Diceros bicornis minor: one gene and its partners. The protein of the gene in region 4 purifies or fractionates together with the protein of the main gene of each other region. This does not show direct contact. Links are inferred from orthologs where the notes say so. Each region holds a gene or a part of one and is shown on either strand. Other genes may lie near its edges. The genes, in order: HIC1, DNMT1, BCL11A and MTA1.

What was found.
Region 1: the proteins of MTA1 (region 4) and HIC1 purify together in Homo sapiens (affinity purification with western blotting; 3 studies listed by BioGRID). This does not show direct contact. The link is inferred for Diceros bicornis minor from reciprocal best matches to the Homo sapiens genes MTA1 and HIC1.
Region 2: the proteins of MTA1 (region 4) and DNMT1 purify together in Homo sapiens (affinity purification with western blotting; 4 studies listed by BioGRID and IntAct, with this or other methods). This does not show direct contact. The link is inferred for Diceros bicornis minor from reciprocal best matches to the Homo sapiens genes MTA1 and DNMT1.
Region 3: the proteins of MTA1 (region 4) and BCL11A purify together in Homo sapiens (affinity purification with mass spectrometry; 4 studies listed by BioGRID and IntAct, counting the BioPlex papers as one, with this or other methods). This does not show direct contact. The link is inferred for Diceros bicornis minor from reciprocal best matches to the Homo sapiens genes MTA1 and BCL11A.

What each region holds. Positions count from the first base shown.
Region 1 is NC_080757.1:15,773,382-15,781,262, forward strand, and holds the start of HIC1 (hypermethylated in cancer 1 protein), read right to left. Parts: upstream 3,005-7,881; 5' UTR 2,886-3,004; intron 1,432-2,885; 5' UTR 1,412-1,431; coding exon 1-1,411. UniProt on the Homo sapiens protein: Transcriptional repressor. Recognizes and binds to the consensus sequence '5-[CG]NG[CG]GGGCA[CA]CC-3'. May act as a tumor suppressor. Involved in development of head, face, limbs and ventral body wall.
Region 2 is NC_080769.1:8,952,967-8,960,120, reverse strand, and holds the start of DNMT1 (DNA (cytosine-5)-methyltransferase 1), read right to left. Parts: upstream 3,005-7,154; 5' UTR 2,959-3,004; coding exon 2,879-2,958; intron 2,668-2,878; exon of another isoform or gene 2,391-2,667; coding exon of another isoform or gene 2,335-2,390; intron 1-2,334. UniProt on the Homo sapiens protein: Methylates CpG residues. Preferentially methylates hemimethylated DNA. Associates with DNA replication sites in S phase maintaining the methylation pattern in the newly synthesized strand, that is essential for epigenetic inheritance.
Region 3 is NC_080751.1:26,591,432-26,598,678, reverse strand, and holds the start of BCL11A (B-cell lymphoma/leukemia 11A), read right to left. Parts: upstream 3,013-7,247; 5' UTR 2,685-3,012; coding exon 2,630-2,684; intron 1-2,629. UniProt on the Homo sapiens protein: Transcription factor. Associated with the BAF SWI/SNF chromatin remodeling complex. Binds to the 5'-TGACCA-3' sequence motif in regulatory regions of target genes, including a distal promoter of the HBG1 hemoglobin subunit gamma-1 gene.
Region 4 is NC_080763.1:49,836,522-49,843,385, reverse strand, and holds the start of MTA1 (metastasis-associated protein MTA1), read right to left. Parts: upstream 3,005-6,864; 5' UTR 2,987-3,004; coding exon 2,947-2,986; intron 1,703-2,946; exon of another isoform or gene 1,688-1,702; coding exon of another isoform or gene 1,660-1,687; coding exon 1,592-1,659; intron 1-1,591. UniProt on the Homo sapiens protein: Transcriptional coregulator which can act as both a transcriptional corepressor and coactivator. Acts as a component of the histone deacetylase NuRD complex which participates in the remodeling of chromatin.

The DNA of each region.
Region 1 (7,881 bases), on a different chromosome or scaffold from region 4:
CCCCACCGCCTCCAAAAGGGGGCCCTAGGCCGGCAGCCCCGGCAGCTACTTCAGCCGCCTCGGCCCTGCCATACAGCGCCTCCTCCTCCTCCACGTGAGCCTCCACGTGCGCATTCAGCTGCTCCGAGCTGGGGAAGCCCTTGCCGCACGGGATGCACACGTACAGGTTGTCACCGAAGCTCTCAGGCTCGCCGTAAGCCAAGTGCGGGCATGGGTAGCCCTCGAGGTGGCCGCCGGGCGGGCTGGGATCCTCGCTGCTGCCCGTCTCCTCGCTACTGCTCTTGTAGTCGTCGCCGTCGCCGCCCGCGCCAGGCCCGTCCAAGCCGCCCGGGTAGCGCGGCGGCGGCCCCAGGCCTAGCGGGGGCCCCCCAGGCGAAGCGGCCGGGTCCCCGCCGCGCTCCTCGCAGCGCTCGCCGGGGGAGCCGCGCTCCCGGCCCAGCTCGTCACCGTAGCTGCCCAGGCCTGGCTCATGCTTCATCCAGCGGTAGAGGAGGCTGGGCCCGTCGGGGCGGCCGGGGGGCTCGGGTCCCGGGCTGGCGCCGCCGCCACGGAACGGGTCCGGAGGCGGGACGGCCTCCTCCAGCTTCTGGAAGGGCAGCGGCGGCAGCGGCGGCAGGGCCAGCGGCGGCTCCTTGTAGGCTGCGGGGCCGGCGCTGGGAGGGCTGTCTGGGCGCGGGGGCAGTTCGCGTTCGCCCGGCGGCCGCTCGGAAGGCGCGGAGCCCGGCGGGCTTTTCTTGGACAGGTCCAGGCCGCAGAGCGGGGAGCAGCGGCGCTCCGGGGCGCAGAGGGCAGCGGCCGGGCCGGGGCCTGAGGCGTACAGCTCGGCGCAGTGCGTGTTCACGGCGGCTTCGGGGCCCGACGGCGGCTCGGCGGCGGGCGGCGGCGGAGGCCCGGCTGGGGACGAGTAGCAGGCCTGGATGACGGGTGTGGCGGCCCTTAGGCCCCGGCCCGGCCGCCCGTAGGGTGCATAGCCGCCACCACCGCCGCTGCCGCCCCGCAGGTGGCAGTACTTGCCGTGGCGCTTGAGGCGCTTCTTGCACAGCGCCACGAGGTCGGGGATCTGCAGGTAGCTGGCAGCGGCCAGCACGGCGCCCAGGCTCGGCTCGGCCCCCGGGGCCACGGCCGCCGCCGCCGCCTCCGCGCCATCAGCCAGGCGTCCGGTGTAGATGAAGTCCAGCACCAGGCGGAACACGGCCGGGCTCACCATGTCATGGTCCAGGTTGAGCAGGTTGTCGTGCACCACCAGGGACTTGAGGTAGGCGCTGCTGGCCGCCAGCACGTTCTTGTGCGCGCGGAAGAGGGCGTTCTGCACCACGATGATCACGTCGCACAAGAAGCCCTTGGTGCGCTGGTTGTTGAGCTGCAGCAGCAGCTGCCTCGAGTGGCCGGGCGCCTCCATCGTGTCCAGCATCGTCTGCCCAGCACAATCTCCTGCGGGGACACACACCAGCTGGGTCAGAGCCGCAGGGAGCCCTTGCTGCCTGGACCCAGCCCGGTGCTTCTCCCCTCCACTTCCCCTTCCCCTCGGCTAGGCCGGGGCATCAGCACCGCGGCCTGGGCACTGGCGGAGGATCGGCAGCCTCCGAGTGTGGGAGCCTGGGCGGGCCGGCTGGCCCAGAAGAAGGAGCAGGAGAGTGGCTAGTGGAGAGAAGGCCGGGTGGGCCTGCACCTTTGGGCCCGGATGCCGCCCGGCAGACAGGCTGGCTTGTGGGGGCTTCCGAGGAAAAAACTGTTCGGGCGAAGTGACCCTTTAGGAGACAGTTACCCGATTTGAGGAAAATGTCCGCTTCAGGAAAAGTCATTCAGGGCCGAGAAGTTTGCCTAAGTGGGATGTAAGGGAGTCGAGTAAAAAGCACCTCCCGCCTCGGGAGAAGTTGCCCCAGCTGGGGGAAGTGATCCGGAGGAGGGGAGCGCGGTGCCCGCCGTGGCGCCGCCCTGGCCGGGGCTGTCAGGCCCTCATTTGGGGCCCGGGCGGCAGCCGCGGCGCGGGGAGAGGAGGCAGCGGCTGCCTTGCTGGGCAGAGCTCGAAGGCCGGGCCCCGGCGCGGGGAGGGCGTTATATCGGGGCAGGAGGCTGAGGCAGGAAGCAGGTGGGGGGGAGGGGGGAGCCACGCAGTTCCCAGGGGAGGGAGGGGGCAGCGCCCCGGGCGGGCACGGCGCGCAGCCGGCTGCGGCCCTGACCCCGGCCTGCGCCCCACCCGCGTCCCGGCCCCGGGCCTCGGCCTCTGCTCTGCATTCGCGGGCCCGGCGCCTCCCTCCCCAGCTCTCCTCGGCCCCTTCTCCACGGGAACTCCGCCGTCCCAAACTTGGGGAAAAGTTTCCCAACTTCAGACAGGCCAGGAGGAGCGCGCCAGCCCCGGTCCCTTGGCTCCCAGCTTTTCCTCTCGGCTCCCAATTTCGGCAGCCAGGCGGTCGCAGGGCCTGAGCCGATCCCTGAGCTCCCCGGCCCGCCCGCTCGCCCGCCCGACTCTGTTCCCCGCCTGGCCCGCAGGGCCTCGCGGCCCGTTACCTGCGGCCGCAGCCCGACCGGGCTTCCCTCCCCGAGGCGGTGGCAGTCCTAGCCAGGGCCCCACCCGCCCCGCTGCCAGGCGCCGAGCTGTGCCAGGGCAGCGCCCCTGCCAGCCCCGCCCGCCAGCTCCCCTTCCCTTCCCCTAGCCTCTTCAGCCCATGTGCGGGCAGAGCCGGCCCCGGGCCGCTGACCCCGCCGTGAACCCGGCGCAGAGCAGCGGCCCAGAGGTCCTGAGTCCTCTAGGGGCGACACCCCGAGCCCTGAAAGCCAGCCGCGCTGGGGCGCCCGCGCCGGAGGATGCGCCCGAGGCGGCCAGGGCGCGAGGACCGGGCTCTCCGGGTCCTCTGTCCCTCCTGGTCCCCAGCCCCAGGACCCACCTGGGGGGCATGTCGGAAGCCCCGGGCCCGGCTGCCAGCGGATCCAGGGGGGACGTGGCTGCGCTGCGCTGCCCTCCGCCCGCCGGGCCCCCGGTCGGTCTGTCTTGCTGGTCCGTCCTCCCCGCGTCCTGGTCGCGTCTCAGCCCCGCCGCGCTTTCCGCACACTCTTATCTGGAGCTGCCCGGTCCGGGGGGCGCTGCTGCAGCTATGGCGCCACCTCGCGGCCGCGAAGGGCTTTGCGCGGCACAGCCGCGACCTCCCTCCCGCGTACCTGAATTGGAGGCTCGTAGTTGCGGAGCTGGACCTGGGAGGGGGGCCTATTCGCAGGTTCACTCCCCCAGATGTGCCCACTTGGGGACCCAGGCCCCGGACCTGCGAGTCCCACAAACCCTGGGGTTTTGAGCTGAACGCTCCCATTTACATATTTCTATTCAGAGAAGTCCTGCCCGCAAGGAGGGGACTCTGGTGACAGTAGATGGTGGGAAGGAGGTTACGGAAATCCTAAGGGAGAAGAAGGTAGACAAGATCTTAGGTGACTCTCCCTAGACATTCCTAGATGGAACTGTCCATTTGTACCCACCACCCCAACACATCCACCCTCACTCAGCCACATGGGTTAGGTATGCACAGAATAAACCCGTTTGCACCCAGACCGTCTCCAGGCATTGACACCTGCGGGCACGCCTGTTTGCACAGAACACACCTGCCCCCTTCCGGAGTCCAAGCCCTGGCTTTCTGGGACATTCCGGGGGCTGCCACGTAGGACTCTCCGTGGACCTGGGCAGACGTGGTACCCAAACAGCCCGCCCTGAACTTGCAGGTCTCTGGAAGGACCCCAGGATATTCGACAGGGAATGGCTGGACAGCGCCTCTTGGGGGTCCCGCAGAAGCGACCCCAGCCCCCAGATTCCCCGTGTGAGCCGTTCCGAGGGACATGCCTGGGCCACCTCGTCTGCAACCCACCGACGCGAGAGACCCGTGACAGGAGGGCCTGCAGCCCGGGATCCCCCGCAAGGTCCCGCACCCCCACGTAAAGGCCGGGTTCTTGCAAGTGACGCCCCTTCTCGGAGGGAGGGGACCCCGCACTGGCGATCGGACACTCGCAAGGCTACTCCGGAAGTGTCAGCGCCCGGCCCCGCCGCTGCAACGGGCCTGTAGAGAGCGCGGGGTCGCCGCAGCCCACGCTCCGCCTCCTCCTCGCACCTCCTGACCCCCGCCCACACGTTGGGGGTGGGAGTGGGTCCCCGAGAACGCCTGCGGCTTCTGATTGGCTGCTCCTCCCTCAGCCGCCGCGCGCGAGAGGCTGGGGCTCAGTTACCATAGTAACCGATGAGGTTCGCCCAGATCGCGTCTCTCCAAGGCCTTGAAGAGCTTAGCAACTAGCAGGGCCGCGGGGCAGGTGGGGGCCGCGCTCGCCGCCCGGCTGCGGTCCTCCGCCCCCACGCCCCCGCCAGAGGTAGTGGCTGAGTCATTCATTGAGGGGCTGCCAGCGCAGCCACTCGCGGTCGCTGACAGACACCAAGGTCTCAGGCGCCCCCCAGAGGCTCACTTTCCTCCGCAGGCGACTTCATGGCCTTGGGGCCAGGCGGCGGTTCCTGGTCCCCGCGGGACCTTCTGACTCCCCTCGTGTCTTGAGTCTGCCCTCACCCTGTTTCTACTACGTGTTCTGGATCCGTCTTATCCCAGTCCTCTCCTCTGTCTCCCCACGGTCTCCTCACTAGAGAAGTAGTGAGGTTCCAAGAATGAAAATTGTGGGCTCCGGGGCTGCCGGCCTCTAGGAGAGACGGACCCCCACATCTTGGCGGAGGGACATGTGGTGCGTTGAGGTGGAAAAATGTATGGAGTGCTGGGGGGAGACTAGAAGGCTCCTCAGAAGAAGCGCTCTTAGAGCCGGGCTTTGATGGATGAATAGGAGTTCTTCCCCCAGGCAGGAAGGCATTCCTTGGAGATGAGAACCACTGGGACAAAGACTGGATACAAAAAAAAATGGGAACTCTAGAAGGCCAGATCCCAAAGTGTGCATGACCTCTCTGACCCCATTTCTGCTGTAGTCTTTCATCCTCTTGATGGGGCCAGATCCTAGCCCCACAAGGAGCCCCTCAGCCCCACGTCTCTTTTGTGCGGTTGAGTCTGTCCACTGTGAACCTACCCTAGGGTCCGCTGTGCCCACTGTCTTTGTTTTTCTTCAACACTCTCCCCAAGTTAACTCACTGCCCCAGCCCCTACCCTCAAGCTGTCCTTACATCTGTATGGGAGGGTCTCACAGAACTTCCTCCAGCCTAGCTGCCCTCCTATGGACCTCTCCCTTCTTCAAACTTTGACCTTTCCCTCCTTCCCTAGTTCCACCTGCCCTGGCTGGTGCTGACCCCTCCTCACCCCAGTCCAGCTCCTCAATCTGCACACTCTCCCCCTTCCCCATTTGGAGACTTCCTCAATTGATGGAGCTAGGCTAAGCCAGGGTCGTTCATTTCCCTGCTCCCGTCCAGGGGAACTCTGACTACATGGTGTGGGCCCTTCCTGCCAGTTGTGATCTCCAAGAACTGTAACTCCTCCAGGAAGTGGTCTCTGCCCCGCCGCCCCCTGGAGACCCCACTCTGCCAAGCTGCTGAGCCTTTGGTCTCCTTCACTCGTTATCATCCTTATCTGAGCTCTGCCAGTTCCCATTATTCCACAAATGGGTCCTAAACGCGGTCTGCTTCGTGCTAGGCTCTGAAAATGGCACTGCCAACCTGTCCTCCTCCCCTCCACTTGATGAGGCTGCCTCTTCCTCTCGCCCCCTTCTCCTGCCACCTTTTTCCCAACTGTCCCATAGAGGACCCCCTTGTTCATTTCTGGGGAGTCCAAGCCACCTCCTCAACTTTTCTGCCTTCCTTTGGGTCTCCAACTTCTGACTGGTACCTGGACCCCCATTGGGCCTTCCCTCCCAGGCCCAGCCTCCTCCTACAAAGCCTTCCGGGACCCTTGGGCTCCCCCACTCTTCTTCCCCATCTCCCCGACGCCACATCTCTAGATGCTGCCGTAGGCCCCTCCGCGGGTCCAGCTTCCTCTCCTGCCCCCCGCAGTGGCCCTGCTGTACAACGCCGCTGCGGGGCATCTTGTGACTTCACAGAGCGGTCGGGTCCAGGAAGTGAGGAATGGGAATGGGGGCTACCTGGTGAGGACCTCTGAAAGGCGGGCGGGATGGGGTTGCGCCCCTAGGTGTCCCAGAGTGAATAAACATGTAACGGACCCGTCCGCCCTCCCCGCATCCCAGCACTATCCTTCCCCCGGCCCCCAGCCCGCAGTTCCGGAAAATTAACCCCTGGTAGACCGGCACAGGGGGCGCGGGCTCCCCCTCCCCGTTCCTGCTTCCGTGCGCCCTCTTCCCCCTCTCAGCCCCCTGTCGCCTCGGTCCCCACCACTCTCCCTCCTCGCCTCACCACTATAAATAGCCCCTCTTCCCGTTTCCTAAATTCCCTGCTGACGTCGGCAGCGCGTCAGTGTGTAGGAGCCGCGGCCGCATGAATGAGCCGCCGCACGAGTACTACGCGCTCCTATAAAAGCCGCCGCGCCAGCCGGGCTGCGGGAGGCGAGCGGGCGCGGGCGCGGGCGCGGGCGCGACGCGGCTCGACAGGTAAGCGGGAATGACCGACCGACGGGAGACAGATGGACCGATGCACGGACACGGACAGGAGGGCAAGGAGGAGACCAGCAAGCAGCAGGTTGGAGGGCCTCTACGGGGCTGGGGTTGGGGACAGGGTGGGGGCCGAGGGTCCCCTCGCAGCTGGTGGAGCCGGGCCGGAGGCGTACACGGAACTCCGTGCAGCACCTGCCCGCTCCTGGATGGAGACGCAGCCACTTCGGAGGAGCATCGAACAGAGGACGGACCCCAGAGTCCCCGCGGCTTTTCCTGGCGCTCCTGCGCCATTCTCCCAAGAAAGTGGGGCGAAGGTGCTGGCGCCCCCTCCTCCTCCTCCCCGCAGCACGGTGACTCAGCCTCGCTGCCCCTGGCCGGCTGAGCCGGGGCCCCGGCCAGGGACAGACGCCCACCTTCCCGCCACCCGGGCCGCAGCTCTCTCGGGACTCCCGCCCCGCATTCAGCCGGGGCGCCCCCTCCCCACCCTGTCCCGTCGGGCTGGTCCCTCAGCGCCTCCGACTTCCCGCCTCTGCGCGAGGAGCTGTCCTCTCAGGACCAGGCGGGGGCGGGGCCTCGGCCCGACGGCCCCGCCCCACCCCCACCGACGCCCCCCCCCCCGCCCTGCCGCCGGAAGTGCCTCTCCGCAGGGACATCTTTGACGTCACAGGGCTTTGACGTCAAGGGCCGCGTGCCTGTCCGCGAGCGCCGGGGCGGAGAAGGGCGGGAGACGCGGGGGAGGAAGAGCAGCAGCGCCCCCAGCTGCGGGCGACAGAGGCACTCCCGCCCGGGCAGCGCGCCGGCACCTTGGCTCTAGACTGCTTACTGCCCGGGCCGCCCTCAGTAACAGTCTCCAGTCACGGCCACCGACGCCTGGCCCCGCCCCAGGACCGCGGACCCGGCCGCCTGCCGCGCCCCCGGCCCCTCTGTCCCCGGGGTCTCCCAGTCCCGCGCTCGCTGCCCACGCCGCCGCTGTCCGCGGTGCTGATCTAGCTCAGGCGCCGCCATCGGGTCGTCCTGTTGCTGGTCCCCAGGGGCTGAGGGGGGCGGCCGGCCCACAGGCACATCGCACAGCCCCCGAGCAGTCCCGCGCCCGGTCCCCGCCGCGCGCGCCGCCCCCCGCCCGCCCCGCCACCGCCCCCCACCACCCCGCGGTCCTGACGTCAGCCTGACTGGAGCTGCCGCGATGCCGTCAGTAGTGCGCGCCCCGCCCCCGCGTCTCCAGGGCAACCGTGGCTTTCGATTGTTACTGTGGGAACCGGAGGTAACAGTCTACAGCCATGGTCGCCCCGCAGCACGCCCACGCGCCGCGCCGCGCATTGCCAGCCCGGTATGGGGGTGACCTGGAGCAGGAGGAAGCGGGGGCGGGGAGTGAAGGTCCGA
Region 2 (7,154 bases), on a different chromosome or scaffold from region 4:
GGGAAAGGCTGGCAGGCCTTTGAGTCTACTGTACACCAAGCTGCAGATACAATGAAGAAGGGAAACAAACCTTTACCAACTCCAGGGTGCAAAGGCAGCACATGGGGTGCACGGACATATTTCAACACCCTTCTCATTGTGGGGGAAGGGGACTGTCTTTCTGAGCACAGTCTTACGGATGAATGGACAGCAGCCAGCCTCACACTGGTCACTCTGCATGGTCTCAGGCCTCGAGAACCTCAGAGGAGGCCTGCGTGGCTTGTGAGGAGATGAGCACAAGACTGAGTCACGCAAGTGGACAGGGATTCCAGACTCCAGGTCAAGAGCACCAGGCAGCGTGCTGGGCGGGAAAAACCACCGGCTCCAACTCACGTTGTAAGAGGATCACAGTTTCCACTTATAGAAAACAGACCTCAGTGACAGCAGGAAGACTCTCGCTTCTTCTGTACAAATGATGGCGGCTTGGACAGAGTAAGAAACATCAAGTGGAGAAATGTGGCTTGTCCTCAAAAGCCTGATTTTCAGAAGACTGAGCGTATATAACACTTCCAAAAAGCAGTTCAAGACTTAAAAACCCAAACATTAAATACTTGCTAGTATCATTACGTATCTAATGGGACTCTGTGAGTTTTAAAAGATGCCATATAAACACAAGTTAGCAGAAGTGACAGAAACGCATACATGAGGACCAGGCCTCAATTTTGTTCCTAGAACACTCTACTGGACTTAGGTTCCTCTTATATTATAGATTACACTTGTCTAATTTTCGTGGGTCAAAAAGAGTTATACCTCCGTTTATGAATCTAAGTTTAAAGGAGTGATGAATGCCATGTTTATGTGTGTATTTTGTATGCTGAAATTCAAGATGTAAGAAAAGCTATCGAGGGTCATGTAAGCTGACCATTTCAACGTCTACCACATGGTCCAAGGCAGAAATCCACAACTCCATACCTACAGTAGGCAATTCTAGTTCCAAGTAAGATGGAAGCTAGAGTGAATGGTGGATTGCAAACCTAAGAACATTCAAATTCAGCCAAACAGAACACTGCTCCGGCCCAATAAAACCCGAGCTAGTGGGCTGTTCGAAACTCCTCGTTGAAGGGAAAGGCTCTGGCACGAAACAGACCTCAGCAGGAATTCCCGCTTCCTCCAAGTGGATGCCTGTGGCACCCACTCTTAAGGACTCTTGATTAAATGCGATAATGTAAAGTGTTTTATACAATCAGTGACTGATTCGCAGACCGGAAAGTAAGCTAAATTAGCTGATAACAATGCTAACACGTGGGCTTTCAGGTGCCAGGCATATTCTCATTTAATCCAATGCCAGTTTAAAGCCCATGTTGTCAGGCTGGCCCCGTGGCTTAGCGGTTAAGTGCGCGCCCTCCACTGCTGGCGACCTGGGTTCGGATCCGGGGCGTGCACCGACGCACTGCTTCTCTGGCCATGCTGAGGCCACGTCCCACATACAGCAACTAGAAGGATGTGCAGCTATGACATACAACTATCTACTGTGGCTTTGGGGGAAAAATAAATAAATAAAATTAAAGCCCATGTTGTCAATCTTAGCCCACAGCTGGGGCTTGTTTATGACACTTGTGCCCAAAGTCAAAAAAGCCAATGGAGGGAGCGTTCTCACCATCAGAGAAAGGAGGCTGGACCCCAACTTTTCTGTATTGGGTCTAAAATGAAGCCAGGGACTTCCATGATTCCATTTCCACTTTAAGTTACGTTATATCTTGGGGGGATCCAGATAGGGGTTCTTCAGCAAGACACATCCCCTCTAACTGTGGTGAAGAAGTGGTTGGAACCTTAAACACCCAGTAGGGAGACCCCCACACACACTCCACTTTGAAAAGCCCAAATCAGAACGGGCCTGGCACAGCCATAGAAAACAAGCACAGCGAAATGGCAAAAGCGGGGTCACCAATCCGCTTGGAAGTGTTCAGTCTTGGTCAAGGTTCCCGTGATCAGCGTTCCAAGCGAGGGGTACAAGTTTTCAGGACTGAAATGGGAGCCCTTCTAGAACAAGAAGGGGGGGCCCAATGGTCGTGCCACTGACCCATGTGCACGGCATTGCTTGAGCTGGTCCCCAACATCAGCGACCCCAAACTGCCCCCTAAATACACACACTGGAAAGTGCGGCCAGTTCTCCCCAGCAAGGCTTCCTTGATGCCCACGGCTCATGGGCACAGATTTACTAGAAAAGACCATGCAGCCTTCGCGCTGCCTGAGCCCTGGCCCTGCGCTGCACGGTACGAGTTCCTTCCAGAATGTGACTTCCCAGCAGTCCGAGACGATGGCGGGAGCCCCCCAAGGAAGACGGGGCTCGCAAACCTGAGCCGGCCGCGCCCGGGCCCCGACCGGCGACGTCCGTCTCTGGAAGCCGCCATCGGGATGCGCCGCGCGGGGGTGCCGAGGGGGCCCCCCGAAACGACCCCGGGGACCGGGCCGGCACGACCCCCCAGGAGGGCCGGGCACCGGAAGCGGAGGCCGAAGTGCCCTGCCGAGGGGTGTCCTGAGGCCGCGGGCTGCCCACTTCCTGTGCGACCAGGCTGGCGGCGGGAGCCCGGCCCGCGGCTGCTCCAGGAAGGGGACCCCCGAGGCGACCCCAACGCTTGCTCTACTTTGAGGTCAGAAGAGACCCCAAGTTCCTAGGCACCAGGGAGCTGTGAGGTGCCTCGGCCCATTTTGGCGCCAAACGGCCAGGGGCGCGCGCGACCGGAAGTGCCACCCTGCCCGCGCCAACCGCCGCCGCGCGCCGCGCCACCCCGCGCATGCGCGCCCGTCTGTCAGCGGCGGCCACAGGCTACCCGGCGGGGAAGCGACCCCCCCCAGCGCTGTGCCACCCCCCGCGTTCGCGGGCCCCCGTGGCACTTACCGCCTGCGGACATCGTCGGGCAGTGAGAAGGCCCGGGAGGCCAGCGCGGGCACCCGGGCTGGGGCGGTGCGGGCAGGCATCTTGGAAACTGCAGCAGAGGCGGCAGCAGCACAGACAGCCCTGGCTTTTCGCGCGCGCGGAAACCGACGGGGAGGGGCGGCGAGCGGAGGCGGCGCGTACCACCTCGGCCTGGGCGTGGGGGAAGGCGGGACGTACCACGCGGAGAGAGGCCGTACCATGTGCGGCCGGACGTAGTGGAGCGGGACGTGCGCGGGGGCTGCGCATGCGCGAGTCAGGCGCACACCCCCGCGCGGAGCAGTGGGTTCGTCCAAGCTCCGCCGTTTGCCGAGAGCCTTGCCCGAGACATTCATTCATTCATTCTTTCCCGCAGGCTGGGGATAAAACGGGGAGCATTCCCACGAGATTCAAGCCTGTGGGCTTTTGAGTTAAAGTCCTCAGTTCCAACCCCACCACCACCTGTTTGCTCACTCTAACGACCTTGGGAGGGTCATTTGGACCCAGCCTCAGTTTCCTCATCTGTAAAAAGGGGCTAATACCACCTACTCCAGAAAAGCTTGAGGCTGCACAGAATATGTAGCTAGCACCAAGGATCTCACAGTGTGGGGAAGCCCGGACCACTTCCACATCCTGTGTATTTAAAAAAGTACTAGAACTTGGGGAAAGGCTAGTCCGTTTAACAAATGGTGTTGGGAAAACAGGATATCCAAATGCTAAAGAATGAAATTGGACCCTTACTTTACACTATATACAAAAACTCAAAATGGATTAGACCTAAGCATAAGACCTGAAATGACAGAACTCCTAGAAGAAAACATGGAAATGCTTCACAACAATGAATTTGGCCGTGATTTCATGGATATGACACCAAAAGCACAGGCAACAGAAGCTAAAATAGACAAATGGGGCTACAAACTAAAAATCTGCACAGCAAAGGAAACAATCGACAAAGTGAAAAAGTAACCTATAGAATGGGAAAAAATATTTGTAAACCATTTATCTGATAAGGGATTAATATCCAGAATATATAAAGAACTCTTACAACTCAACAATAAGGCAAATAACCTGGTTTAAAATGGGCAAATAATTTGAATAGACATTTCTCCCAAGATACACAGACGGCCAACAAGTTTATGAAAAGATGCTCAAGTTAAGTCATCATCCGGGAAATGCAAATCAAAACCACAATGAGCTATCCCCCTTACGCCTATTAGCATGGCCATGATCAAAAGAATGAAATAGGCATCGGCGAGAATGTGGAGATTAAGACCCACATGCACTGTTGGTGGGGATGTAAAATGGTGCAGCTGCTATAGAAAAATGTGGGGGTTCCTCAAAAAATTAAAAATAGAATTATTGGGGCCGGCCGGTGGCTTAGCGGTTAAGTGCGCACGCTTCGCTACTGGCGGCCTGGGTTCGGATCCCGGGTGGGTGCGCACCGACGCACCGCTTCTCCGGCGATGCTGAGGCCGCGTCCCACATACAGCAACTAGAAGGATGTGCAGCTATGACATACAACTATCTACTGGGGCTTTGGGGAAAAAAAAAAAAAAAAAGGAGGATTGGCAATAGATATTAGCTCAGGGCCGGTCTTCCTCAGCAAAAAGAGGAGGATTGGCATGGATGTTAGCTCAGGGCTGATCTTCCTCACAAAAAAATTAATAGCTATTAATTTAATATGGAATCAGCACTTATGTACTGTACCAGGCTCTTAAGAGTTATTTAATTTCATCCTTAACAAGCATAAAGGGGGGGGGTGTCAGGACCCCATTTCCCATGGCCTAGGATATTTGTCACAAAGGAGTCTGGCTCAGAGGCTGCTAACCCAAGATCATAGACTCAGTAAGCAGCAGGGACCATGAATCCTGGTGTCTTGAGCTCCAGAGCCTGAATGCGAAAGAGAAACCCCAGGGTTGGCCAGCTGTCAGGCCCCTGGGAGGCCAAAGGGACAGCATTGAGGGAACCGGGCTGAGGATGGGGACAGATAGAAGAGAGTCTGGCCAGAGTGAGGCTCAGGACCCGTAGACCTGCTGGAAACCAGCATCTGGGCCCCTAAGCTGCCTTAGGAAGAGGGGTGCTCACAGGATGGGGGAGAGAGGGGACACAGACAAGCAGACCTGCTTGTCAGGGCCTCAGCTCTCGGAAGAGCAGCTGCATGTAGTGGCAGGATGTCCTCTCAGGCGGATCTTCTTTGTGATCCCTTTGTCAAGGGATGATTCGACCCATTTTACAGATGGGGCAAGGGCTCAGCGACATCAAAATTTGCCCCACTTGGTGCCAACGTTGCTGATCTGCTCTCAAGGTGCTGCTTCAGACCATCTCTAATTCCTCTCCTCCCCTCACATGCAAGAGGTGAGCAATCTCTGTTGGTTCCTCCTCTAAAATACAACCCGGGTCTTTCTGCTTATCCGCTCTGCTGCCTCCTCAGAGATTCCATCATCACTCCATCACTTGCCTGGACTGTTCTAGTAGCCTCTTCCCTGGTCTCCCAGACTACAGCATCCAGAGAGCTTTAAAAAAAAAGGGGGGTGGGGGGACATATCCTTCTTCTCTTCTCTTCCCCACTAAAACCTTGCAAAACTTCTCATTGCCCTTCAAATAAAATCTAAGCATTTTACTCTATTTACAGGGTCCTTCCTGGATGCATCTCATCCCGCTACCACCACCACCTCACTGAGCTCCAGCTTCTTGATTCACTTTTAGTCTTTCAAGCTCTTATGTGCCCCAGGGCCTTTGCTTCACTTCTGCCCAGACCACTCTTCTGGGAGATTCACACAGTTCCAAGGTTGCCTCTACTCAGAGGCTTCCCCCTGACCTCTCACTCTGGCCTATTACCCTGCTCCTTCATAGAGTTTACCACTGTCAGAGAGTTTCTTATTTACTGTCATCATAGTATGTCTATTTCACTAGAGCAGAGCAGGGGTCTGCACATTTTTTCTCTAAAGGATCAGTAAATATTTTAGGTTTTGTAGGCCACACGTTCTCTGTTGCAACTCCTCAATGCTGCCATTGTAGCATGAAAACAGCCATAGACAGTCAACGAATAGGTATGGCCGTGTTCCAATAAAACTTTATTTACAACAACAGATGGTGGGCCGGATTTAGCTTATGGGCCTTAGCATGCTGACCCCTGCAAAGACTACGAGCTCCAGAGGGCAAGGACCTGGTCTGCCTCGTTCACAGCTGGCCCTCCAAGGGCTCACTCCGTAGGAATCCAAAGATTGGTTGAATATATAGGACGTAGGAGGTGGCAAGCAGGTGCCTGATGTACAGTGAAGATGCAAAGGTTGGTGGGTATGAAGCTATTTTCTCCCCCACAACAATGGATTTCCATTTCACAAACAGGGAAACTGAGGCCCAAATCAGAGAAGGTTGCAAAGCCTCGTTTGTCTCTAGTCCTTGAGTCATCCACTTCACTCAATTCACCTGACCACTAGAAATGTCAGCCAGAGCCATGGGGAGAGGGATGCTGATGGCTTCCGGGAGCCTCCAGAGTGACTGGTTGGACCACCAGAGACCTCCACCTAGAAATGGGCTCATCCCTTGAGAGAAGGGACTGGAAATTCCAGAAGCAGCCAGGTTCAGCTCTCAGGTGCATTTACTCCACCTCCACCTGTTGGTCTCTAAAGTAGTGTTCATGAACCCCTGACATGAGACTTGTCAGGCCCACCTCCCTGCTTCCCAGGCCGTATTCCAGCCTCCAGCTGGAGGGCCACACTCCAGGGGCCAGGAAAGGCTAGGTGTCAGCCCCGAGCACCAGGGCTAGTGGAGAGATGGCCACATGTCCTGGGCCACAGTCAGTCAGAAAGCCAGAGCTGAGTCATGCCACATGCTGGGGCATTAGTCACGGCAACTGAGCTCTCGCTTGGTGCCAGGACCAAAGGAGGCCCCAGATGGCGGCAGCAGCACTCAAGGGTTCGATGGGGACACTTTGCCACTCTCGCCCCAGGCAGGGGCCAGGCAGGAAGACCAGCAGGGCAGGCTTCGCAAGCTCCCTCTCTGGGCTCAAGTGACCAGGAATCAGATCTGGGGAAACCAACTCTGGGGTGTGCTGGGTGGACCTGCCTGCTCCTTGTAGAGCACTTAAGCAGGCTGATGGCTTTCTGTACGGGACCACAAGAGACTTGCTGCCAAGCCCGGTGGGTTTTCCCTTCAAACAGCCCTTGAGTGAGTTAGCTGATCTGCCCCTCCAGGGCCACTGCCCCAGCCCAGGTCACCCTCAAGTCTCTCCTGGACACCCCCCCAGCCTCCTTCTTGA
Region 3 (7,247 bases), on a different chromosome or scaffold from region 4:
CAAATGGCTCATTCATCCCAAGAAGCGGAGGATGGGGGGTGAGGGGGTCCTGAAGACTGGAATGGCTCCCGCCCCCTCTGTGCACCCAGAAAATGAGAAAGGAGCGACCCCGCAACCTCTCCAAACCGGCCCCTTAACACAAAGCCCTCACTGAAACCGGGGGAGAGGGGCTAACCCACCCAGACTGGAGTGTCCCGAGATAGACCCCGGGATGGGGGCGGGGGGGTCGGGGAGCAGCCTGGACTGCAAGCCTGTCTGTCCTTTGAGCCCCCAATGCATCCTTCCGAAGAAGGGCCCGGCTTTCCCGAGTCCTGCGAACACTGCCCATCCTTCCCGCCGGTACCTGGCCGGGCTGTAACTTCACACCGCTGCGCGCCGCGTCTGCTCCGCATCCGGCGCGGCCGGGGGAGTGGGGGGCGGGGGAGAGCGGCGAGGGAGGGATGCGCGGGGGTGGGGAGAGGGAGGGCCCCGCAACGTGCCGGGGCGGGGGAACTTCCGAAGTGTGTGACAAGTTCCAGGTCTCAGTGAAAAATTCAATTCTCTGTGCGCACTCCCCACCCCTTTAAAAAATACAGAACTGGGTATAGGTGGTCCTTTAAAATTGCATCAAAAATTAAAATAAGGGTCATGAATGAGGTGGGGAAAGGATGTGGGCCCTCTCACGCTTTTCTTTCTCTTGCTGCCAAACTTTCCTAAGTGCCCACTGTCCACCTTTCCAGGCGCACTCTGTTAGCCAGGAGACAGTCACACACACCCCCTTATATAGATTCACAAGGAGCCCCCCCACCCCGACTGAGCCAGGCCCCGGGTGGAGGGCAAGAACTCAAGGTGGGGTGCGCAGAGTCCCGGGATTTAGCATTCCCAAAACGCATACTAGAACGTACTACTCCCCTGCCCACTCCCCCACACACAGCTCTCCCCCCACCTGGCCTGGCTGCGCTCGGGAGTCGGGGGCTGGTGGCAAGGCCGGGTGGGAGGGGGGCAGGGAAAGCACGTGGTGACCTCCCCGCAGTCCTGAGCTGTGGACAAGAATCCGGGGGAGCGGAGAGGGGGGGGCGCAGAACACGCTTTTTCAGTTGCTTTGCAAAATAAAAATGCTTTGCAAAGCCGAGTTTCTCCCCAGCCGACTTCGCAGTCGGGTTGGCGGGGAGGAGGTCTGGGCATTGTGCTGTGGGCGAGAGGGAACCATGGACCCGGCTGGCGCGGAGTCGCGGCACGGCCTGCTGCTGTGCCGGCGGGCGGGCGCCGGGCGCCGAGTGGGCGATCCCGGGCGGGGCGGGGGCGCGGCGAGGCCCCGGCGAGGCCCGGCCGCCGCCGCCGCCCGCTCCCGGGCTGCCGCGCCGCGCTCGGTCCTCTGTCTGTTTGTTGGCAGCAGGCTCCCGCACACGCGGTGCTTGTAAACATTCAGACACGAGATTTTTCCCAATCAAAATCCACTTCCACTTTTTTTGAAAATCTTCCAAAAAATAGTAAGAGGAGGGAGTTCCTCGCTCCCTCTCCGTGCCGCCGGCGCTCTAAGTTTGCAACTAAAAGGGTTTTGGGGAAGGGGGTAATCGTATTTTTTTTTAACTCCGGTAGAGATTGTGAGATTTTTGCAGGGGGGGTGGGGGACTCAAAAAGGAGAGCGTTGCAGAAAACCGCCGGAGGAGCGTTTGGCTTCTGGTTTGGGGCAAGAAATTTTACCTTCTCTTGCCTTGTTTTATTTTTATTTTATTTTATTTTGCACTTCTTCTCGCCGCCACTGAGGTTCGGCCGGGAGGGGCAGGCAGCCGCAACCCGGGCGGCGGCGGCCCAGGCGCCCTCCCTCCCTCTCCCGCTCGCCCCCGGCCCTTGCTCCTGCCCTTCGGCGGCGGCGGCGCGGGAGGGCAAGCGCGAGGAGCCGGCACAAAAGGCAGCGGGACAAACACCCACCTCAGGCCGGAACAAAAGGCGGCAGCGCCGGCCGCGTCTCCCGTCCTTCGCGGTCGCCCGGCTCTCCCTGCCGCCGCGGCACCTCTCCAGACTCGGCGGACTCCAGAGCGCCGGGGGCCCCCTCCCACAATCCCACTTTCTCACTATTGTGGAGATGACTACTTTCTCCCAGTGCACACTTGACCGTGAGCGCGCTCGTGTCCGAGGGCCAGTCTCACCTCTTTTCTCCCTGGAAATTGTTTTTTAGGCTTGGGCTCCCTGCTCCCCCACTCCCCGTTTTCCTTCCTTCGTCGAGTGGAAGCAACCCCCCTTTCCCCTCCAGGTCCCTCCCCCAGGTTTGCAGGAGAGTTGTTCGCATCCATAGCATTGTTCATTATTTTGCAAAATTGGAGGGGAAATCATTGCATTCCTTTCCGAAAAGCGAAATAAAGCAGCGGAAAGCAAGAAAGAGGAGGAGTCAAATTTTTGTAAAATTAAATAAAATTAAAAGGTGCGTGCAATTCCAAAGTGTACATACGGCTATGGTTCGGGATGGGATGAGGTTTGGGGGTTTTTTTTTCCTCCCTTTAATCTCTTTTATCCCGACTCTCGGAGGTTTTTCTCCTGAAAAATTTTTTAAATGCATGCACACACCCCTCTCTCCCCCTCGCTCTTGCTTCTCGTCCTGCGCGCTCTCGTGATTATTAATAATTATTATTACTATTATTGGGTTACTTACGCGAGAATTCCCGTTTGCTTAAGTGCTGGGGTTTGCCTTGCTTGCGGCGAGACATGGTGGGCTGCGGGGCGGGCGGCGGCGGCGGCGGCGGCGGCGGGCGGACGACGGCTCGGTTCACATCGGGAGAGCCGGGTTAGAAAGAAGGAGACTCCAGAGAAAATATCTTCATCAGTGCCTTTTGACATCCAAAATAAATTAGAAATAATACAAAGATGGCGCAGGGAAGATGAATTGTGGGAGAGCCGTCATGGCTTTTTTTTAAGCAAAAAAAAAAAAGAGAGAGGAAAGATAGAGGGAGAGAGAGAGAGAGAGATGAAAAAAATGGCAAAAGCCCCCCTGAGCTGCAAGTTCAAGTGCGGACGTGACGTCCCTGCGAACTTGAACGTCAGGAGTCTGGATGGACAGAGACACACAAAACATGGGCAGGGCGAGCAGGAGAGAAGGGGAGGAGGGAAGGGGAAGCTCACACCAATGGACACACATCAGGGGCTGGACATGAAAAAGAGACCAGGACAAGCCAATGGCCAGTGCGGGGCGGGGGAGGTGCGGGGCGGGGGGCTCTGCAGACGCCAGACGCGGCCCCCGGGGGAGGGGCGGGCGGAGGGGAGGGGGCGCTGGGGCCGCGGGCTCACCAGTGGCCGCAGCGAGCGCAGAGGCGGCGGCGTGGCGGGGAGAAAAGAAAGGGGCAGCGAGGGTGGGGGGAGCAAGATGTGCACCCTGCACCACCACCCCCGCACGCCAACCCTAAAATGAAAGATTATTTAAAAAAAAAAAAAGGCAAGAGCGTACAGGGAGGCTGCAGCCCCGGGCCGGGGAAGCGCGGGCGGAGGGAAGCCAGGTAGAGTTGCTCCCGGACACCCTCCTCCTTGCGCACACCCACTTCCCCTCACCGCCGCCGCGGCCGCGCTCGCTCCCCGCGTGCGGCCGCCGGGGCCGAAGTGAAAGCCTTGAGCCCGCGGCTGCGCTCCGGAAACTTTGCCCGAGGAGAGGCTAGCAAAGAAAAATCACCCGAAGTTGAGAGCGGAGCCTCCAAGTTACAGCTCCGCCGCGGGTGAGGGGAGGCGGGAGGGAGCGCGCGGCTAAGCGGAGTCCAGCCCAAGTTTGGAGGGTTGGGGTCCGGAAGGGCAGCGCCGGGGCCTCCTGGAGCCCGGGCGGCCTGGAGAGAGGGGGCGAAGGCGAGGGAAGCGGTGCAGGCCCGAGCGGGAGGGCCGAGAGGGCGCCCCCAATGCCGAGCCGGGGGGCCGGGGATCTGAGCGCCCCAACAAGCGATTGGGTCTGAATGCAACTGGAAGCACAGAGTCGAGGCTCCCAAGGGTCGCAGAAAGAGAGAGAGGCCAAGGAATACAGAAACGAGGAGCCAGACCCGGGGCACTCGGAGGGGAGCGCCAGGGCCCGAGGCGAAGGAGGCGCCGAGGCGTCCACCTCACCGAGGGACCGCGGGCCAGAGGACAAAGCACGGGCAGTCCTGGGAGTTCCAGTCCCTGGGAACGTGCTCCCGGCGCTGCGGGAGGTCCCCGAGCCGGGTCCCAGGGAAGGACACACCCCCTCCCACTCCTAAGCAACTGCAAACGCGCAGAGGAATGGAAAGAAAATGTTTCTTACTGGTAGAGCACAACTATTACTGTGCTGTTACGTGGGGAAAGAAAATGGGGAATGGAGAGAACGCGACTGGCTCGCAGGAGCAGCGGGGAGGCCACGGTGGTGGGGTGACCGCCCTGGGTCAGCGCCGCGCTCCCCAGGCGCCCCGGGTCAAGGCGCCCACTCTGGAGCCCGAAGCCTCCCCTAGCCTTTCCGCAGAGGTTCGCGGGAAATTAGGGAAGACCTGTTGGAAATAAACCCCTGTCTCTTTAATGCACACACGCGCGCACACACACACGCTGCCGCTGTCAAAAAGCGGGCTTCACTCTGGCGTGGGATACTTTCAGTTTTACGTAAAATGTACAGCAACAGCACCCCCTGCGATTGGAAAGTTTATTCAGAAACGTGCCTGCAAAGTCCCCCGGCGTCTCCCGCCTCCCAGCCTCCCTGCCTGCCTGCACCACCCTGTAGCCTCAGCCGCCACCACCGCCGCCGAGACCACGCTGCGATTCCAAATCCGGAAGGGCAGGGGGGAGAGGAAAACGGACTCAAGTCCAAGGGAGGAGCGGAGGGTGCAGGGTGGAGGCGGGTCGCCGCGGCCCGCGAGACTCCGAGCTGCAGGTGGACGTGTGTGAGTGTGTGTCTGCAGAGCGAGGAGCCTTCCTTCCCTCTCCTCCAAGCGGCTCCACAACCCCTCGTGTCTTCTCTTCCCCCTCCTCAGTCTAAGGGACCTCTTTTTCGTAAATTCACCCACCGGGCGGGGGGCTTTATTGTCTTAAGCGAGGGCCCCGGCTTGCACGCGCGCACCCACCTCCCAGCCGCGCCGGCAAGCGGCTGTTTATTCATGTGTTGTCTTAGTAAAGTTTCAAGCCTATTAGAAAATGACTGGCTTGCCTGGCTCGGCGAAGCTTCGGGCCCCTCTAAGTAAGAAAAGGAGGTTTTGATGCTCAGCGTTAGGAGAGATGTGGGCTGAACTGGGTTTGTGTAAATGTGGTTTGTTGTTATTGTTTCCCTCCAGTTTAAGGGGGGGGGACTCAAATCCTGTTTAAGAGGCAGGAAGATGCACTTGCAGTAAAGCTCTGTAGCTTGTGCGTTGCACCATTTCCCCTTTTTCATGAGTTCTTCAGAGCAGGTCAGCATCTCTCTTCCACTACCGTCTATTTTTTTGTCTTGTTAAACTAGCCTTAGAGTGACCAAAAGAATGTCATTGCGGGGGGTGGGGGGGCTGGCGGGGGGGGGGCGGGGGATGAGACTTGGAGGAGAATGGTTGGAGGAAAGGTGAAGAGAGAGAAGAAAGTGCAACTGGGAGGCCTTTGAAAAATAAATAAATAAAACAAAAGCCCCTTCAGGTAACAATAGTAAGTCAGATTCTTTCAGAACTGAGCTTTTCAAATTTAAATATTTTTCCCATCCATCCATAAAAGTCCATATATAGAGAAGGTGTATAAATGGGCGAATGTGTGTTGTGGAAATATATATGTATGATTTATATACAATGGTGTGTATAAAGCTTTTCAGAGTTGGCTGTAGTGTAAAAAGTAATGACTTTATTACCTCTGAAAGGTTCTGTGGTTCACATTTAACAGTCTTCTGAATTACAATTCATTACACAATTGTGTGCTCTCTAAAACCGGCACCCTATCAGGGCCGCTATCTGTGGTTATTTCCAATAAATAACTGGCAACATTTTATTGATTTTCTTTTTTAAAAAATCATAGGAAATTAAGCACTTAGTTACAAGTAGGTCTGCTATGTTATTGCACTTGTTTCAGATTCCAGGGGGTTCCTTCCAAAACCACATCTTAAAACACACATTAAAAACTCAGTTTTGCAGCTGCTTTCCCCGGGTGCCAATGCCGAGGTACGCAGCGACGTTTCCACCATTAACATATATTTAATTTCACCATCATAAAATGCCCAGAGTGAAATAGTAGCTGCCCTCCGCTCACGCCCCTCCCCCAGCCTGATTTCACCCAGTCCAGAAAACCAGGGCTGTGTATCGGCATTTGATCCTCCTGCTCCGGGACCCCCACTCCCGGTCCCTCGTGCTCGCCCCTACGAGCGACGCCCCCTCCCTCATTGCTGCTGGATGCTCGCTAAAGCGCCCCAAAGTGGGGGAGGGGGAGGGTTTGTACGTGTGTTTAAAGAAATAAAAATATGTTGTTTTAAGAGGCTTAAAATATTACATAAGTATTGATTAATGATGCAGGTGGTTTTGTCGAGGGGTGAAAGGTCACTTTAAACGCGCACACTTGGATACACAATAAGTATATTTACCTTTCCAAAAGTGGCTTTTAGAAAGTAATAAATTATGACAGCGTTAAAATTTTCTGGCCGTTCAGTTAACTTCATTTGGAGCTGTCGAACCTTGGCTGATTCCACTGAAGGGGTAATTACGCTCGGTGGGCTCTTTCCCCAACCTTTAGTGACGACACTGCGTGTAAACTCCAGGCCGACAGACGACCCCTCCCCTCCCCTCCTCCCCCTTTTTATCTTGCCCGCGGAGGAGACTCCCCAGGACTTCCTGCAGTATGTATTCTGCCTCTGATCTCCGTACTTAATAGCCAAGTCCTGGTTTATGCTTTATAATGTGTTGACAAGTTTTCTAACAGACTTTCTGAAATAATGCACATATATTCACGTCGGTTAGAAACCCACCGTATTTTTAGAGTCGAGTAGATCTATACCCTAATGCAGTGAGAGAGTGTAAATCATAGAGGATTTCATAGTCCTTTCAGTAGTTTTCGGTATGAAGTATGAGCCGCGTGGCCTCCAGACGTAACCTTTTCGAAAAAAAGACAGTGCTTTTATTTTATGGTGTAAAGTGCTTTTAGCTCCAGGGCTCTGAACGTGAATGTGGTCAACAAACAGCTCCAGGAAGGAGACTTCACACAGTCCCAGCCCTCGAGCCGAGGATCGCCTGGCGCGGGGACTCGGGCTGAGCAGGAGAAGGAAGGGTTAAAAGGTCTGTCTCGATGGAAACTACAAGATTAAAATAAAATATTCACTGTCTGCCTTTAGGGGGAAACACCTTGATAGA
Region 4 (6,864 bases):
TGCAGAGACCTGGAGGACGTGTGGACACCCAGCCCCTCCAACCGTGCTCCACTGCCATCTGAGGAGTCTCTGTGCCTGTTTCCTCATGTCCCCACGTCAGTGTGTGCCGGCACGTGCAGATGGGCGACCATTTGCTCCTGTTCCAGCTGAGGAGGCCAGCTGCCCATTCTCCCGCAGGCCCTGTGGCTTGGGCAAGCTGGGAGCAGGGCCCCGCCAACGAGGCGCCTGCAGAGGCATAAGCTCCGGCAGTGCAGTGGCCTCACAGGATGTCCCAGTCGCTTCCCCTGCCCCTGCCACCTCCAGATCTGGCCCCAGAACTTCCAGGAGCTGCCAGATCACTCCAACCAGCCTGACATGCTCAGGCTGGGACACAGGCACCCCTCCGACTCTCCTTGTCCTGGTGGTGGTGGTAGATGCCACAGGGAGAGGCCCTTGGCAAGCATGGCCAAGGGGTCAGGTTCAGCTGCAGCTAAGTCTGACCCTTGTGGGTCAGCACTTGACCTTCCCACCCCATCCTGCCTGGTCCCAAGAATCCCAAGCCACACTGTCACAAAGCCTGAGGTCTAAGAAAGCAGCTTCTTGAGGGCTGGCTTCACAGAGGCACAGCAAGGGCCCCCTCGCCAGCACAAGTAACAACGGGTGCTTCCGGGAGAGGGGCTGCTCCAGAGAGGAGCTCAGTAGCTGCTCTGCAGGAATCAAGGGAAGAGGCCCAGGGAGGAAGGAGCTGCAGGTCCAGGGGCTCCGCTGACCCTGCATCGTTGTGGCCATGTCCACGGACGAGGAAGGGACACGCCTGCCCTCTCCCCCAGCGCCACCCACGAACACCTCCAACCACGAGGCCAGCAGGAGAGGAGGGGAGGCAGCTCACACCTCTGGGTCGGAGGGAGACTGCTCATTCCCACTGGCCAGGAGGATGCGACAGGCTCTGACCAAAGACGGAGGCCATTCTGAATCCGAGAGATGGGGGAGTAGCGGGGCTCGCAACCCGTCAGCCCACTCCCACTGCATCCCAGGCCCCAGGTGGGCTCTGGGCTCACCCAGCCTCCAGTACAGCACAACCCCCTTCCCTGACCAACTTGCAAGTGCCTGACGAGTGACGGGGAGGAGGGCGGCCCAAGTAAGCAGGGAGGGAGACAGGAGACAAGCAGGGAACCCCTAGGCACATGGATCCCACAGGCACCCTCGGGCTATGGTTGCCCAGGCCGCTTCCTTGGCTCTTTGGCTGGTCTCCAGAATCGTCCAATCCAGACGCTTTCTGAGCACTTCTGTTCTGCTCAGGCACCCCCTGAGCATGTCCCTCAAGTGAGGCCACCAGGGACCTCACTAATGGGCTCTCCAAGGAGGAGCACCCAGTCTAGGCAGGTGATCCTGGGGACGAAGCCACCCAAAGGTCTGAGCAGACAGTGGCCAGTCTGGGGCCAACCCAAGAAGTCCCCTGCAAACACGGCACAGAGGCTGGGGGCGTGTTTTGTCTCATCTGTGACGATGGCCCCAGGCAGAGCCGCAGGAAGGGCAGGGGCACGCTGCCCCCCCCCGCCCCCGCAACCGGCAGGGACGGGACCACCAGGCACACCGCACACACACACGCTACCTTGTTGAGCTCCTCGATTCTCCGGATCAGGTAAGGGTTGCTGGAGGAGTTCTCGAAGTACACATAGTCTGCAAACAGGTACAGAGAGAGCGTCATCCCACAGCAGAGCCTGCCACACTCAGAATTTCCCACCGCCCCAGGGACCCAGGGGAGCCCAAATACCCCCCTCCACTCCCTCGTACCCTCGGTTCTGGGGGCTAGGGATCAGGAGGGAATGAAGGAGGTGAAGGCCCCACTGTCTCAGGGGAGAGATGACATAACCAGAACCACATCAGTGGGTGCTGGGCAAGGGCCCGAGACGAGGCAGGAGGGGGCCGCTCCAGGCAGGAGCCAGCAGCCCTCCCCATCCCGTGGGTCCCAACACCAGGAGCTCTGTCCCTCCCAAGAGAGGCCATGGGGGCCAGGCTGCAGCCTCCCCCTGAGGACACTGTCCCCTAGGACACCTTCCCCCTGGGGACACTTTCCCAGGAGGCTGCTGCTGGCCTGGAGGGTAGCCCAAGAGTGCTGCAGCCAGAGACCATGCCAGCACACTGGGGGCTGCTGGATCCCTGTGTCTCCTCCCCCAACTCCATGCACATCCCCCCATGCCCCTCGACCTTTCCCTCCAAAAACAAAAGCAGTGAACGGAGGCTGGGCCTCCGGGGCAGAGGGAGGACAGAAACCAGGCAGAGCTTGCTAGCACAGGGACATTGTCAGTCTCCCAGAGGAGCGAGATCAAAGGGTGCCGACAGCACCCTGATGGGTCCCCTAGACCATCAGGTCAGTACAAACTTTCCTCACAGACAAACCACATGTGCTCTCTGGCTTCCCACAGGCTCCATAGGGGGAGAGTCAGGGTCTGGCTTAGGGATGCTGGCAGTCTCCCGAGATTTCTGAGAGGTCCACAGTGGGAGGTCAGGAGGCTCACCCTGGAAACCCCAGGACAGCCACGAGGCCACCCACCTGCCAGCCTGGCTTGCCCAGCCGACGCCTTTATGCTCCAGGCATACTGGAGCAGCTCAGGGGAGGCTCAGCTCCAGGAGCAGGCCAAGCCATTGTCCCTGCCAACCTGCACCAGGAATGCGAAGGCCTTCTTCACCACGTCCCTCCCCACCCATGGAGGAGGCCTGCAGTCGCAGGCTGGGCCAGCCCTGCAGGAGACGGCCAACCAGGAGGCTCCTCTTAGCTGGAATTCAGTTAAAGCCTGGATATGGCCCAAATGCCCACAACTGGGCACAGATTTGGCAAACTGCAGTAAGACCAGCAAATGCCGAAGGAGCCAGCTCAGCCCTGTCCACATGGGAGGTCCCACCTGTGCTGCCTGGACCCTGTGGAGGGGTCTGAAAAAGCATCTGCCTCCTGCTGTCGACACGCACCTGCAGGTACACACCTATGAGGACACACCTGCAGGCTCATATCTGTGGGTGCACGCACCTGTGAGGATACACCTGTGGGGACACATCCATGGGGCACACACCTGTGAGGACACACCTGTGAGGACACACCTGTGAGGATGCACCTGCAGGTTCACACCTGTGGGTGCACAAGGTTGTGAGGATACACCTGTAGGGACACACTTACGGGTGCACACCTGTGAGGATGCACCTGCAGGCACGCACCTAGGGGGCACACATCTGTGAACGTTACTCCCCGGGCTCACCTGTGCTGCCCTGAGGACACGGGTAGATCAGACATGCTGCGCCCTCAGGGAGCTCCACGGAACAAAAGAGCAACGAGACTAAACACCCAGAGTGAGCCTAGCCGCAGCCCTCAGCGGGCCATGTTCAGAGGTCAGCTGAAAACAAAGGCGTCTACAGAAGATGACTGTCGATGGGCACGAGGTTTGTTTTAGGGTGATGGGAATGTTCTGAATTTAGATTGTGGTGATGCTGTACAACTCATGAAAATACTAAAACTCATTGAACTGTACAAGCAAAATGGGTGAATTTTATCAAATGAAAATTATCTCAATAAAGTGGTTTTTATAAAAAGATCTCAAATCAATCATCTAAGCTTTCATTCTAAGAAACTACATAAAGAGCAAATTAAACCTCAAATAATTATTCATATGTGCCAAAAACTGCAAACAACCCAAATGTTCCCCTCAAGTGGGGAGCAGACAGACCAGCAGCGGGTCCGTCCGTCCAATGGCTGCCTCCTTGGCAGTGCCAGCTGAAGTCCTGCTGGTCACACTGTGCTCGGATGACACTCGAGGGTGCTCTCCTGGGCTGCGGGTGGCGCAGTGCCTGCCCAGGAAAGCCAGAGGGCAGAGAAGAGGCCAGCGGCTGCAGGTGGCAGGAGGGGTGACCACTCGGGCCTGCAGGGCTTGGAGACAGGAACTGGGCTGTCTCATGACTGTAGACATTTCCCAAAACTCACAGAACTGCACACTTACAAGGAGAGGGCTTTACTGTATGCCAATTGCGTTTCTGTAAATGGGAAAACAAACAAGCCAGAAGGAAATCATAACCAGCAAAAACCAAGGCCAGGGCCAGCCCCGTGGCCTAGTGGTTAAGATCGGCTTGCTCCGCTTTGGCGGCCCGGGTTTGATTTCCAGGCATGGACCTACACCACTTGAACCTTCCTCAGCAAAAAAAGAAAAAACGAAGGTGAGTAAAACGCAGTGGTGACAAATTAATGGGACCAAAGCTGCTCACTGAAACAATCAATCGACGAATTTCAGGTCAGGCTGATAAGGAAAAGAGAGAAGCCACACATAACCAACACCAGGAATGCGAGAGGGGACATCACTGCACATCCTGCTGCCGTGAGAAGGGCAGGAAGGGACGTACAGACAGCTTTACCAGTCAATCTGACAACGTGGATGAAATGGACCAAGTGCTTGCAAGACATGAAGGACCAAAGCTCACCCAGGAAGAAACAGGCCACCCCACACCGAGCAGGGAAGCTGATTCATACACTAAAACCTCCCAACAACAACCAAAAAGAAAAAGAAAGACACAAAAAAACCTCCGGGCCCAGATGGCTTCACTGGGCAATCCTACCAAGCATTTAAGAAAGATTTAACACCAAGTCTACACCAACCCTCCCAAAGGCAGAAGGGGAGGGAACACTCCCCGACTGGCTCACGAGGCCAGCATCACACCGACACCGCAACCAAAGATGTCACCAGAAACCCACAGACCAACGCCCCTCATGAACACAGATGCAAAACTTCTCAACAAAACATTAGCAAATCGAAGCTAGTAACATATAAAAAAGGATAATAAATCTCCACCCCTGGATTCATCCAGGAATACAAGGTTGGTTCAACACTGAAAATCACGTCAACAGACTAAAGAACCATGACCGTCTCAATAGACACTGGAGAAGATCTGACAAAATCCAACACATATTCCTGATACAAACTCTTCCCCCCCCCCGCAAAGCCCCAGTAGATAGTTGTACGTCATAGGTGCACATCCTTCTAGTTGCTGTATGTGGGACTCAGCCTCAGCATGGCCAGAGAAGCAGCATGTTGGTGCGCACCCGGGATCTGAACCCCGGGCTGCCAGTAGTGGAGCGCGCGCACTTAACCGCTACGCCACGGGGCTGGCCCCCTGATACAAACTCTTAAGCAAACCAGGAATTAAAGGGAACTTCCTCAACCTGATAGAAGGCATTTACAAAAAACCTACAGCTAACGTCACACTTAATGATGAAACACTTCCCCCTAAAATCAGGAGAAGGCAAATATGTCGACTGTCTCCACTGCTGTTCACCTAGAAGTCCCAGTCAGTGCAAGGAGGAGAAATAAACAAGGAAATGAACAGCATGCAGATTGGAAAGGAACAGGCAAAACTTTCTACAAGCAGATAACATGGCTGTCTACACAGAACTTCTCAGTCTACAAAAAAAGCTATTAAAACTAAAGAGTAAGGATTCAGCAAGCTCATAGGATACTAAAATAGTATATAAAAAGTACCATTTACAATAGCTCCAAGACACATCCCACACTTAAGCATCAGTTTACAAATGGTCCACAGATCTTTAAAGATCAAAAGTTCTGTGCAAAGACCTATATGCTGGAAATTACAAAACACTGGTCAGAAAAATCAATGAAGATCTCAATAAACAGTAACATAAGGTACCATGGATTAGAACACAGGTTGTCAAACCTTTTCGGTAAAGGGCCAGATGGTAAATACTTTACCAAGGATACCATGTAGGTACTAATACAACACATTGCCACAAACTTTTTACTGATGAAATTAAATTAAAACAATAATAATCAAGTAAAGGTGTCTAATAATATGGGTCTACTAATAAGAACTGAATCCTGTTCTGGGGGGAGGACATTTTGCTTCCTTGGAGTTCAAAGTTAGCATTGGCTGTCATCAAAATCAATGGGAAATGCTCCCCTGTGCATGCTGATCTGTGATGCGATCTCATGTGTTTCATCCGTGAACGTCTTTCCACGCAGATGGGTGCTGCCAAATACTGGTATCTAACTACAGGTATACAGTTTTAATGGAGCATACTCATCACTTGGAAGGTATTTACTGAACTCCATTAGATTTTTCTCTGGACATTTTCCTTTTAGCCTATGTGCAGTAAAGGGTTAATTCAACTGGCCTGGGTTGTCCACACTCTGCACCTTCCAAAGTAAGGTTTGGCCCTTGACCTGCTCCTGGGAGGTAACCTCAAAGCCCTTGGAGTGTCCTGCCTGATAAGAGTCTCTGCTGACCAGGGGACATAACCTCTGGAGGGCTAGAGACTGGGCAACTAAGGCCAGCCACAGATGGTCAGCCACGACTATGTGACCAACCTGAGATAAACAACCTGGACCCTGAGGCTCAGGTAAGCAAACTTCGTGTATACTGTCACTCATGGTGGCTGAGAGAATTATGCACCGTCCACAACTCCACCGGGCGAGGCCAACTGGAAGCTTGCAACTGGTCTCTCCTGGACACTGACCTCCGTGCTTCTTACTTTTGCTGATTTGGGTCTGTACCCTTTTGTTGTAATAAACTGTAACCATGAGTATAATTGCTTTGCTGAGTTCTGTGAGTCCTTCCAGCAAATTATTGAACTTGAGGATGGTCCTGGGGACCATGAACTGTAGCATGCAATTGCATTACAGATCAATCACTCTCAAATGAAGGTTGGGTGGGAGCTCCTCAACACTGTTAAATGCATTTTGAAATACAGAAATTTCCTTTGCACTTGCACTGAGGTCCAGGAAGCACTGCTGGAACTGTAGTTTGAGCTCAGGAAATACGCCTGCTGCAAATCTGGCCGGAATGGAGGTCGCATTTCTCGTTTTGACTTTTGACAGTAAGGAAACTGTATAA